Drosophila melanogaster: one gene and its partners. The protein of the gene in region 3 purifies or fractionates together with the protein of the main gene of each other region. This does not show direct contact. Each region holds a gene or a part of one and is shown on either strand. Other genes may lie near its edges.

Region 1 (3,520 bases), on a different chromosome or scaffold from region 3:
TCAATGATTCATGCGGCGGCGCGCGCAACACTTCTAGACTATACAAAAATTAAATGCAAATTTAGTTTTCCGCCGCTTTCCTTGCTAGTAATTCAAGGCTAGAGCCTTGTTTTCCCCAATAAATGCATGTAAAGTGGAATATTTTCTTGTGAATAAAATAAGAATAAATTAGCACGAGCGTTTCTATACCTATATTTTCTAGCAATAATCCCAGATTGCAGCTTGTAGTTTTCATATAAGATTAAAATCTAGCAGAGGTACATTTTATATTCATATTTACCACATAAGAAGCTAATGAAGCCAATGACTTTTGAAACCCACACTCACAATGAGTTGCATCAGCGGTGCTAATGAAATGCAAATATTATCAAATTCCATCGCACTGAAGAGATAAACTGCCTTCAAAGATACAAGGTGCTATCCAAACTGAATGGTCTGCGCAATCTAAGCGATAAGATGTCAATAATCCTACAGAATTGCCTAATAAACCGGGCTTATCTGGTGACGTAGCGAGGAAAGTCCAATCGATATGGAAACTTACTCTAGGCGGACCGATGATCATGCCGATCCAGTAGGTGAGCGTCATGTCGTCGTCGTTCTCCAGGCCCCACGATATGGTGCCATCGCCCACGCCCTTCTGGCCCTGATCCAGCTCCTCCAGTAAGCGGAAATTCCGTGGCACCACTGCAATGTGAAACGGCAAAGAGGTGAGAACTCGATGACATAATGCATTTTCACTGAAAAACTTAAATCTTTAAATATAGTCATTAAGTTAAATGTCAGCTTGTTTTTAATTTTCTGGTTGGCGGGGCAAGAAAGTACTTAGCTTTCTAAATAATTATAATCACGGGCTCGTACAGATAAGATACATATATATAATTATAAACGACAGTTTTATCTATTTAGAAACAAACTAGTAAGGACTGTTCTACACATTTTCTATGGTATAAACCATTTTCGGTGATATTTCGGCGACTTTTCCTCTCAGTGTGGGGTCATATGGGTACGTGTTGTTGTTGTTTTGCGCTCTGCTTCTCGTGTTGTTTTTGTTTTCGGCCGTGTGACTTTGTACGCATTTTCGTGCAGAGAACACAAGTCAAAAAAAAAAAATGCGAAGCGCAGATATTAAGCACGATGGGCGCGGGGGGAGGGTGTGTCGGCGGGGGCGGGGCGAAAGCATAATTTCTGCATTTGCAAAAACAATCCAGGCAAATGTAAATGGCAGCTAATTTAATTAGAAAAGACAAGGCAGCTTGCAAAAACGCAAGTGTGCAAAAAATAAGGAAAATAAAGAAAAAACTTTAAGTATGAAGGCAAGAAGAAGAGCGTGCGCGAGCGAGCGAGCGAGAGCCACATAGTGAGGAAGGAGCGGGGATGATATTTCGGAAAATGTCAAGTCACGAAGCCCAATTGCAACGGAGTTTTTCCAACGCCAAACGCGGCCAAGGAAAATTGCAAGAGCAGCGTGGTCCGCTGGCGAAAATAAATTTCCATTCGCCCATTTCGCTTTTATCGGCTTTCGTCTTTCGCCCTTGCTTTCGTCTTCTTTTTGCCCGTTTTGCACCACACACACAATCACATTGCGGTCCGCTTGTCGGGTCCGTAGCGGCGGAAAAATCGCCGCCGGTCAGCGGGAAATGCAGAAAACGGATGGCCAACAACTCCGGGCGTGCGGGGATCGCATTTTTAAGCTGCCAAATTGCTAATTTATCAATTTTATTTCTTACCAACGCCGGTACTTGATGTATTCGCCATTGTGGTTAATGCTAAGTGCTAAAATACCGTAAAAGTGTGCTAACGCGTTTCCAGTGCGATGTGACCAGTGCGGTTTAGGTTTTGCTTGGCTTGCTTAACAACTCTGATTTTTACACCGTTAACAGTGGTAACACTTAACAGCGCCGTCAAGTGCAATATTTGGTCACTAATTAAAAATCATTATTTAACAATATATAGCATATTCTCTGAAAATAAAAAGGAAATTTAATAGTTGCATTAGCTGATAAGTTTGTCATAATATATGGTCATACCAAAAACGGCAGCCAGCTGCTCTGCTATCAGTGCTGTTAACTAACATGACACTCTGTCCAATGTTAACGCGTCAGCTTTTTTAAAAACAAACCAATTGCAACCGATTAAATATTAATTTGCGAATATTCTCGGGCCCATAAATTAATGCGGAATCAATAGGTGTAACGACATGGAGAGCTTGTACCACCAAACCAACAATGTGGTAAAGGACATCGAGCGCGATTTCCAGCGACTGAGTCAGCTCAGTGCCCAGGAATCGCTTGACGTGGAAAACGGCATTCAATTGAAGATTACCCAGGCGAACGCGTGAGTTCTACAATGATATATATTATCCCAAGAGGAGTTTGTATTATTAAATAAATCTTTTGTGTTTAGAAACTGCGATCGGTTGGATGTGCTGTTGTATAAGGTGCCACCTTCGCAGCGACAAAGCTCCAAACTTCGTGTGGATCAGCTGAAATATGACCTGAGACACCTGCAGACATCACTGCAGACGGCGCGGGAACGAAGACAGCGACGGATGCAGGAGATCTCCGAGAGGGAACAGCTGCTGAATCACAGATTCACGGCAAACAGCGCGCAGCCGGAGGAAACGCGCCTGCAATTGGACTACGAACTGCAGCATCATACGCAGCTGGGTAACGCCCATCGGGGTGTGGACGACATGATTGCCTCGGGCAGCGGCATTCTCGAGAGCCTGATCTCGCAGAGAATGACGCTGGGCGGAGCGCACAAGAGAATCCAGGCGATAGGCAGCACACTGGGTCTGTCCAATCACACGATGAAACTTATTGAACGCCGGCTGGTCGAGGATCGTCGGATATTCATCGGAGGAGTGGTGGTCACCTTGCTTATCATCGCCCTGATCATCTATTTCCTAGTGCTCTAATCTGAAGACATCGCGTTTAGTTGAGTTTAAATTAAATGTACTCTATTTTGTAAAATGTTAAATTAACAATTGATCAATTGTGGATTAATCCTCGGCCTCCAGTGAGATATTGCTGCCGAACCGCTGGTACAGATGAGCCTTCAGCTCGTCCATTTCCGCCTTGATAACCTTCGCCTTGGCCTCCACGCCGGCGATCTCCTTGAGCACCTGCTCCTTGGTCTCCTTCAGCATGTCCTGTGTTTTCTCCAGCTTGTGCGAGAGGAACACCTCGCCAACCAGGAACGGTATGTCCTCGTCCTCGTCGAACAGCTCAATCTCCTCCAGCGCCTCCTCCAAGCTCTTCAGCTCATTGCGCTTCGTTTCCAGCTCCGCTTTGAAGTCATCCATGCGGGCGTTGTGCTTCGCAAAGCGGTTGATCCGCTGCTGATCCTCGAAGGAGATGTGCACGTCATCGTGCTGAAAATGCGATTTAAAATATATATCATAAATTTCAATTGAGCAGATGCACAGAAAAAACCATGACAAAGTGAGGTTACTTTTCATCTTAGTCAGCTGTCCTTTGATGATTCACCCATACTCACGTTCTGGAACACTTTGTTCGTG
Region 2 (3,659 bases), 360 kb from region 3:
AGGAGATCTTCCTAGACCGCAGCAACTACGTGATCTGGGCATTTGGCCCATTGGACTCCAACAACGAGCCCGCCTTTCACACTTACTATCCCAAGAGCGATATAGTGATAGATTTTAACACCACAGAACCGGTTAATGATTGCTTTGCATTTACAAAACGAGCGGAGACGACTAATCCTCCAGTGTGGGAGCGAACCAGGATAACAGATGCGTAAGACTCCAATCTTCCTGCAATGAAAATTTAATATAGTTCCTTGTTTTGCAGAACGGTACGCACATTCAACGCCTACTTGGGACCCTCTGGAGGACTTCGTGGCTATCAGGGATTGACGAATCATGTGTCCAGTGGCTTGGCCTGGTACATCAACGGCTACATGATTCCAGAGCTTTACCTAAAGCGTGGTCTGACCTACACCTTTAAGGTTAGGGGTGGCAATAATCCTCACTCGCCGGAGCACTATCATCCGTTGGTTATCACCGATGATCCCCAGGGTGGGTATGACCGACTGTCTGATGCAAAGCAGAGTGAGATTCGTGTATTAGCCGGTGTTGAATTCACCCGGAGAGGCAGGCCCAAGCCCACGGCTGCTGGTCCCCTGTGCCTGTCCAGATATCCTCAAAATAGTGATCGTCGACTGGATGATAACTTCCCCACTTTCAAGAAGTTCAATCGATCCCTCATCACCGAGTGTGTAGAAGGGGAACCGGCTCTATTGGAAATTACACCGAATATCACATGGCCGGATACTGTGTACTACAACTCCTTTACCCATGGCAATATGGGCTGGAAGATTCACATCGTGGACAGTTATACCAACTTGAAGAGTGGATCGATGGGCTTATCCTGGTCCTTGTGCATCATCCTGCTACCGTGGCTCGTGCTCCAGAACTGACTGTTTTCTCATTCTTAGATTCTCCTATTTAGTGTCTTAGTCTAAATTAAGCAGTCACAATCTATGTATTTGATACGCGTGTGTAGAATGTATGCTAAATGTTGTGTATATTATTATTTATATGATATTTAAATACAGAACTGTGTTGTACTTTAGAAGAATGAGCTATGAAGTTTTGACCCAACAAAAAATCTAATATACATCATTTTTTCAGTGAATTAGATTTATTTGAAATGTTATTGTAGAATCATGGCAGCTGTTATTCTGGATGAAACATGGTGTACAAATCACCGAAATGGGCGCCTAAGATTCGGATTCACGTTCTACCTTCTTGCGCGGCACAGGCTTTCCGTTCACCCACGGAGTGAACTTCACATGGCTGATGTTTCGCTTGGCGGCGTCTGCACGGAGCTCAATGCGCAGGGCCTCTCGCACCACACGGGCTGCGATGTTGGAATACTGGATATAGGTAATACCCAGATCTCTCCAGGCTTTCATCTTGCAGTAATATGGGATTAACTATAAAGATGTTAGGATAATAAGTCAAAAAAAGCTATCTGCATATAAAGGATCTTACCTTCTTCCGTTAAGAATTCGATATAAAACCGAGCGACGGGTTTCTTTTCAAGATTTCGCACACGATTGGTAAAGCCTATGTTAATATTTAATTGCATTAAGTTACAATATCAAAGTAAGTTAAATCAAAGCGCCTTGCTACCTCCTCACTTTAAGATCTTTTAAGGCAAAGCACGTGTCTTTTTATCGATGTTTTTTTTTTATCCAGACAGGGCTACAAACTTAATCGAACTAGGAGTTCTATGGATGCGATAAAAGTTCGATTTGAAACCAAATCGATACAATTTTTTAAATATATTCAAAATCCAGCTTACATGAAATGTAAATATAGCTTACTTTTCACCCCCCAAGCTCGCATATTATATGGTATGCATTTATTTAATTAAATACAAATATATATTTTATGCAACTTTAGTAAAGCACTTAATATTACCATAATACCAGTGTCATACCCGCATAGAAAAGGAGCGGCCTTTTGTGTTTTTCTCGGCACTTGCGCACTTGGGCACACTTATTTGAATATAAGTCACTTGAATTGATTTTTTCAACACGCAAAGGTTGTAACTTAGCACTATGAGCACTCTTGATGCCAAAAAGATAGAAGAGGCGGAGGCCTTGATAGGACAGACGGATAGTGCCGCGAATGAGTATGCCAAAGCTGGTATGTATTTCAAGGCAGCAACCGCATATCGAATTGCCAAAAGTTTCGATAAGCGCAAGGATTGTCTTTTGAAGGCCATCGACTGTTACGAAAACAACAAGTCATGGTTCCATGCAGCCAAATCCTACGAGCAGATTATCCTGCTTGCCAAAGAAACGGACAAACTGTCCGAAGTGGAGGACTATGCCAATAGGGCTTGCTGTCTCTACCAGCAACATGGTTCGCCGGAAGCAGCAGCTGCTGCTCTCGATAAAGCCGCCAAAATGACGGAATCCAAGCATCCTGACTTGGCTTTGGGATTTTACAAACGCGCCCTGGCAGTCGTCTTGATTGGGGACTCCACTCATCAGGCATCGGAATTTGCATCGAAGGTTTCCCGGATATTGGTCAGACTCAAAAAATATGAAGAAGCCACGAAAGCCCTCAAAAAGGAAATAAGCCTAAATCTGCAGACAAAGTCTTACGGACAAGTTGGCCGTTTAGTAGTTGCTTTAATACTGGTACAATTAACACTAGAGGATTACGTGGATGCCAAGAAGACCTTCAAGAAATGGGGAAACCGTTGTGATCCCCAGGAGGTGAACACATTACAAAACCTACTCAAAGCTTTTGACGACGAGGATCCTGAGCTGGCCACCAAGATGCTGGCATCTCCATTCATAAGACACATGGACGTGGAGTACGCACTTTTATCTAAAGATGTGCCATTACCAAAAGGAAATCGTCAAATGACCAAAAATGCAGTCGACAATGCCGCAAACTAAAGAGCTTTTACAAAATGTGGTTTATAAATGTTGTAGTAGTTTTATTATTGTTCCTTAGGTGAAAAAGTTTCATAAATGTAGGTACACTGTTAAAAATATACAAAAATATAAAAAGTGCTAACTCAGAAAACGCATCAGGTGAATTTATAATGCCTTTCCACAACTTTTATACGAAACATATTTTTTACCTTTAAATTTATTGTTACTCAATCTTTTACACTACTTTTTATGCATTTTATACATATTTTTTACATATCCCTAAAATTATACTAATAGTTTTGAACATCGAGTTCTAATTAAAATTATATTCGCTTAATAATATGCAACGTTTGACAAAAAAATGTTTTCAAAATTAAAATTGACAAATACATTCACGAAAAAATCTTTAAAGCATGTGTTTTAAATTCTTTTCAAATAATTGGAGCTCTCACTTAAGAAATTCGTGTTCAATTTGATCAGGAAGCCCAGCTTAACATTAAGCCCTAATTTTATTTTGAGTTATCAATCGGCTTATTGGACTTTAGATTATTTTGGACTCTTCGCCGTGCTTGTATCTGCAGCAGATAAGATACAGTTGAGACCATGTGTATAATTAGCCGTCCCATCAATAAACTTATCCACTGGACACTCGCTCCAATCGCAGTGTCATTTCGCAACGAACAATCATGATGAAGTGTGGCCGGCAATAAGCGAAATCAAATTGCATGGCCCGCTGTTAGTGTAGTTGATTTATTTAGAGTCCATCCAATATCAATTAGCGTTATC
Region 3 (3,757 bases):
TCAAGAAGTGACTTCACCCGAAAGGTTGTGCTGCAATTCTTGCAGCTAAAAACTTTCTCCGGAATGCTTTTTGTCGATGTCTTAGCCGGCTTTGAGGCGATCTTCTCAGGCGAACGCACGCTGGTCACAGCGAGCGACTTTCTTATGCTGCTCTTTGTTAGCTTGGAGACGGGCAAGCAGCTGCGACGGCTTAGTGACACACCGCCACCGACACTCCGCTTGCGAGCTGGGCTGTTGAGCGTTGTCTTGACCACCACCGACATGCGCTGCTTGAAGGAGTACGTTCGCGTCTCTGCGGTGGTGGTGGGCAGATAGGAGCGCCGAGGGCGCGGTAGGGCGGCACCCGAATAAGTGGAGCTCATGGACTGCCTCTTCTTGCCCGCCTCCACTTTTAATTTGGAGGTCGCTGGCTTCACAGAATCAGCGGAGATCTTTAGAGCTTTGGCAATTAGCTCAGAGACTTCGTTCACTACCTCGTTGACATGGGCGACCTCCTTTTCGGCTCCGGCTGGCGAGACCAGCATGGATACTCCTTCGTTGGATACTGTAAATGTAGATGTTTATAGAACGAAACCATATCTCAATAGTATAAACCTACCTTCAGTTATATTCTCTAAAACTACGTTCGCACTCAAGGGATAGACTTGGCTGGGAGCTGGGGTCTTGGCAGCCTCCTGCAAGGATACATTGTCCATGGTAGCATCCCCTGTTTTTAGGGTATTGGCCTTAACCGTATTGGCGGTCACGTCCACTGAACTGGACAAGGTCGAGTTATCGCCGCCACACCCCTCCGGTTGTGTGTTTTCCTTGTCGTCAATTTGGGTCAGATCTATGCTCTCCATGATCTGTGGTGTCTGCGTTTCGGTCGAAATATTGCCCTTGGAGGGAGTGGAGCACAAGGCGTTGTGCCGGTTAAGAATACTTTTGTCAAATGGGCGCAGAGGAGAATTCTGGTCCGGTTCCCCAATGGTCAACTGATGCAGATCCTTTAGGATAGTGCGCCTTAGGTCCTTATCATCGGTGTTTACCTCCACCTTGCTGTTGTGCACCTCCAGGAACTGGCTGTTCTGGGTGACCAGGGCCGACTGCCACTTGGCATTGGACAGGGTGTCCTCCGCGTCAAAGGATAAATACATGGAGACGCTCTCATCGTTTGTCATTATCGATGAGCTACGGGAATCGATCTGCTGGAAGTGAAACTATTGTTTTAGCAATGAAAATGGGATAATGTTCGGAAGTCTTTTCCCGGCAAATGGAAGCAACACCAACTGAAACCACCAAACACTTGCCTTGCCGGCCATAGTTCTGCGCGAATCGTCCATGGTTAAGTATATGCTATTCCCAATTGGCCACGAGGAATTCCCAAATTAATAAATACAAGCAATTAAGCAAAAATTCGAGCAGCTGAAGACCGACGCTGTACCGAAAAAACAAAGCGTTAATATTTCAAACACACTTTTCAACACTGCGCGCGCAATGAAGATAGCAACGGCGCCGATGGGAATGCGCGGCTTTAAATTATGAAAAGTATTGAAAAAACTATAAATTCTTCACTACTTTCAAATTGATGTTAACGCGTAGGAGACTTTGTAGAAATAAATCTAATTTTTTCGGCACACGACGAATTGAAAGGTTACAGTGACTAGATGGGAAATATTTTTGAAAACATAAAATAATTGTGTTTTATCAGACTCGAACAGGGTTCATGTCTTAGATAAAAGTGTAATATCAGACTGGATTATTAGTTTATGCATGGTAAATCGACTTTTAAACTCAGATTTAATAGTAAAATGTAAGAAAGCCCTCTTTCGTAAATAGTTTGCAGCTTGTTTTGCTTAATTTCTTTAATTGTACTTGTTGCGAACTAAGCCTAAATGCAATATTAAACTTTTAAACTCAGATTTAATAGTAAAACGTAAGCAAGCCCTGTTTCGTAAATAGTTTGCAGCTTGTTTTGCATAATTTCTTTAATTGTACTTGTTGCGAACTAAGCCTAAATGCAATATTAAACAGTGTGAACACACGTAAAAATCGCCTATCGAAAACGACATCGATACTAACATCGATTTTTTTGCAGCTCTAGTATACAAATTGGCGAATTGTTGTGTGGTGTGAAAATTCATACTTTCGCAAATAAATTATTAAACCTTGGCAATAAGTTCCTACGTACGGAGCACAAACGAGCTCATCCCCGCCCCAATTACATATCCACCGAGTTCACACACCGAACCAGCACCAAGGGTAGTTTTTCATCTCGCGCGAGTGAGTCACTGGCCAGATTTCCCCACCCAAAAAAAAAACAAGACAGCCGTCTTGCCTCTCAACCACTTGCCAAGCTCAAGTTCAAGTGATCTCACCAGATAGATAGTTCCGAAATGGCCGCCGTGGAGAATGCCGAGCCGCGCACTGAGCTCCAGGAGCTGCAGTTCAAGTCCGGACAGGTGGCCGATGAATCCCTGGAGAGCACGCGTCGGATGCTCGCCCTCATGGACGAAAGCAAGGAGGCTGGAATCCGCACGCTGGTGGCCCTGGATGACCAGGGCGAGCAGTTGGACCGCATTGAGGAGGGCATGGACCGGATCAACGCGGACATGAGGGAGGCGGAGAAGAACTTGAGTGGCATGGAAAAGTGCTGTGGCATCTGTGTGCTGCCGTGGAAGAAGGTGAACATCAAGGACGACGGTGAGAGCGCCTGGAAGGCCAATGACGATGGCAAAATCGTGGCCAGCCAGCCGCAAAGGGTCATTGATGAGCGGGAACGCGGCGGCATGGGTGCACCACCGCAGTCCGGCTATGTGGCCAGGATCACGAACGATGCGCGTGAGGATGAGATGGACGAGAATCTCGGGCAGGTGAACTCGATGCTGGGCAACCTGCGCAACATGGCCCTGGACATGGGCTCCGAGCTGGAGAACCAAAACAAACAGGTTGATCGCATCAATGCCAAGGGCGATGCCAACAACATTCGCATGGACGGCGTGAACAAGCGCGCCAACAATCTGCTCAAGAGTTAAATATGCACAACGGCCACGTCCCGAAACCATAGCGAACATGTTAGTCAGACACCACCTCCATTTCAATGTTGTTAGGGAAAGAAACCAATGTTGTGGGCACAAACCGTAGCTGGTGGTATTGCGTTATTGATACCATATATTATACACATATACAAGTAGTGGCAACTACTCCTGGCAAACGCAAGCGTAACAAACCCATCTACTTACAAGAACTTTAAGCCGCCGAGCCGGATGAACTAACTACTACTTTCTAAAACTATATATATATATATATATATATATATATATATATATATATATATATATATATATATATATATATACATATATGCGAACCAACATACTAACTACTTACTATTACTACACTCGTGTACAAATGGCAACCAGATGGCGCCGGAAACAATTTTATTATGAGATTTACCGTATATGATGTACTCTGTTTTTGGTACAAACTTTTTGAGCATTTTACCGATCTTTGTGAAATCAAACCAAGCAACTGCTGAGATGGATAAATGTGAATTAATGTATTTACAATTCGTAGAACCACCGCATCCCGCACGGGCACCGAAAAACCAAACAAAGACGGGCGGAAATTATGTATAACGTAGCCAATTTTATGTTCTCCATTGTTAACCCTTTTTAAGTAGGCCATGTATTTGGGCATTTCGCAAGCCCAGCACAGCAGTCCAAGCACCAATTCTATTGAATTACACTAGATTTGCACTCGAACCTCTTGCTTCGTA

The links.
Region 1: the proteins of Snap24 (region 3) and Membrin purify together in Drosophila melanogaster (affinity purification with mass spectrometry, with the first as the bait; one large-scale study listed by BioGRID). This does not show direct contact.
Region 2: the proteins of Snap24 (region 3) and gammaSnap2 purify together in Drosophila melanogaster (affinity purification with mass spectrometry, with the first as the bait; one large-scale study listed by BioGRID). This does not show direct contact.

What each region holds. Positions count from the first base shown.
Region 1 is NT_037436.4:5,364,402-5,367,921, forward strand, and holds Membrin (membrin), read left to right. Parts: upstream 1-2,053; 5' UTR 2,054-2,197; coding exon 2,198-2,334; intron 2,335-2,403; coding exon 2,404-2,917; 3' UTR 2,918-2,980; downstream 2,981-3,520. Other genes in the region: Uev1A (Ubiquitin-conjugating enzyme variant 1A), read right to left, coding at 542-684, 1,728-1,755; Pfdn4 (prefoldin 4), read right to left, coding at 3,002-3,373, 3,499-3,520. UniProt on the Drosophila melanogaster protein: Involved in transport of proteins from the cis/medial-Golgi to the trans-Golgi network.
Region 2 is NT_033777.3:10,119,758-10,123,416, reverse strand, and holds gammaSnap2 (gamma soluble NSF attachment protein 2), read left to right. Parts: upstream 1-2,016; 5' UTR 2,017-2,042; coding exon 2,043-2,894; 3' UTR 2,895-3,018; downstream 3,019-3,659. Other genes in the region: knk (knickkopf), read left to right, coding at 1-211, 266-893; ATPsynepsilonL (ATP synthase, epsilon subunit-like), read right to left, coding at 1,197-1,391.
Region 3 is NT_033777.3:9,761,468-9,765,224, reverse strand, and holds the start of Snap24 (Synaptosomal-associated protein 24kDa), read left to right. Parts: upstream 1-2,074; 5' UTR 2,075-2,375; coding exon 2,376-3,014; 3' UTR 3,015-3,757. Other genes in the region: CG8478 (uncharacterized protein), read right to left, coding at 1-544, 599-1,199, 1,290-1,322.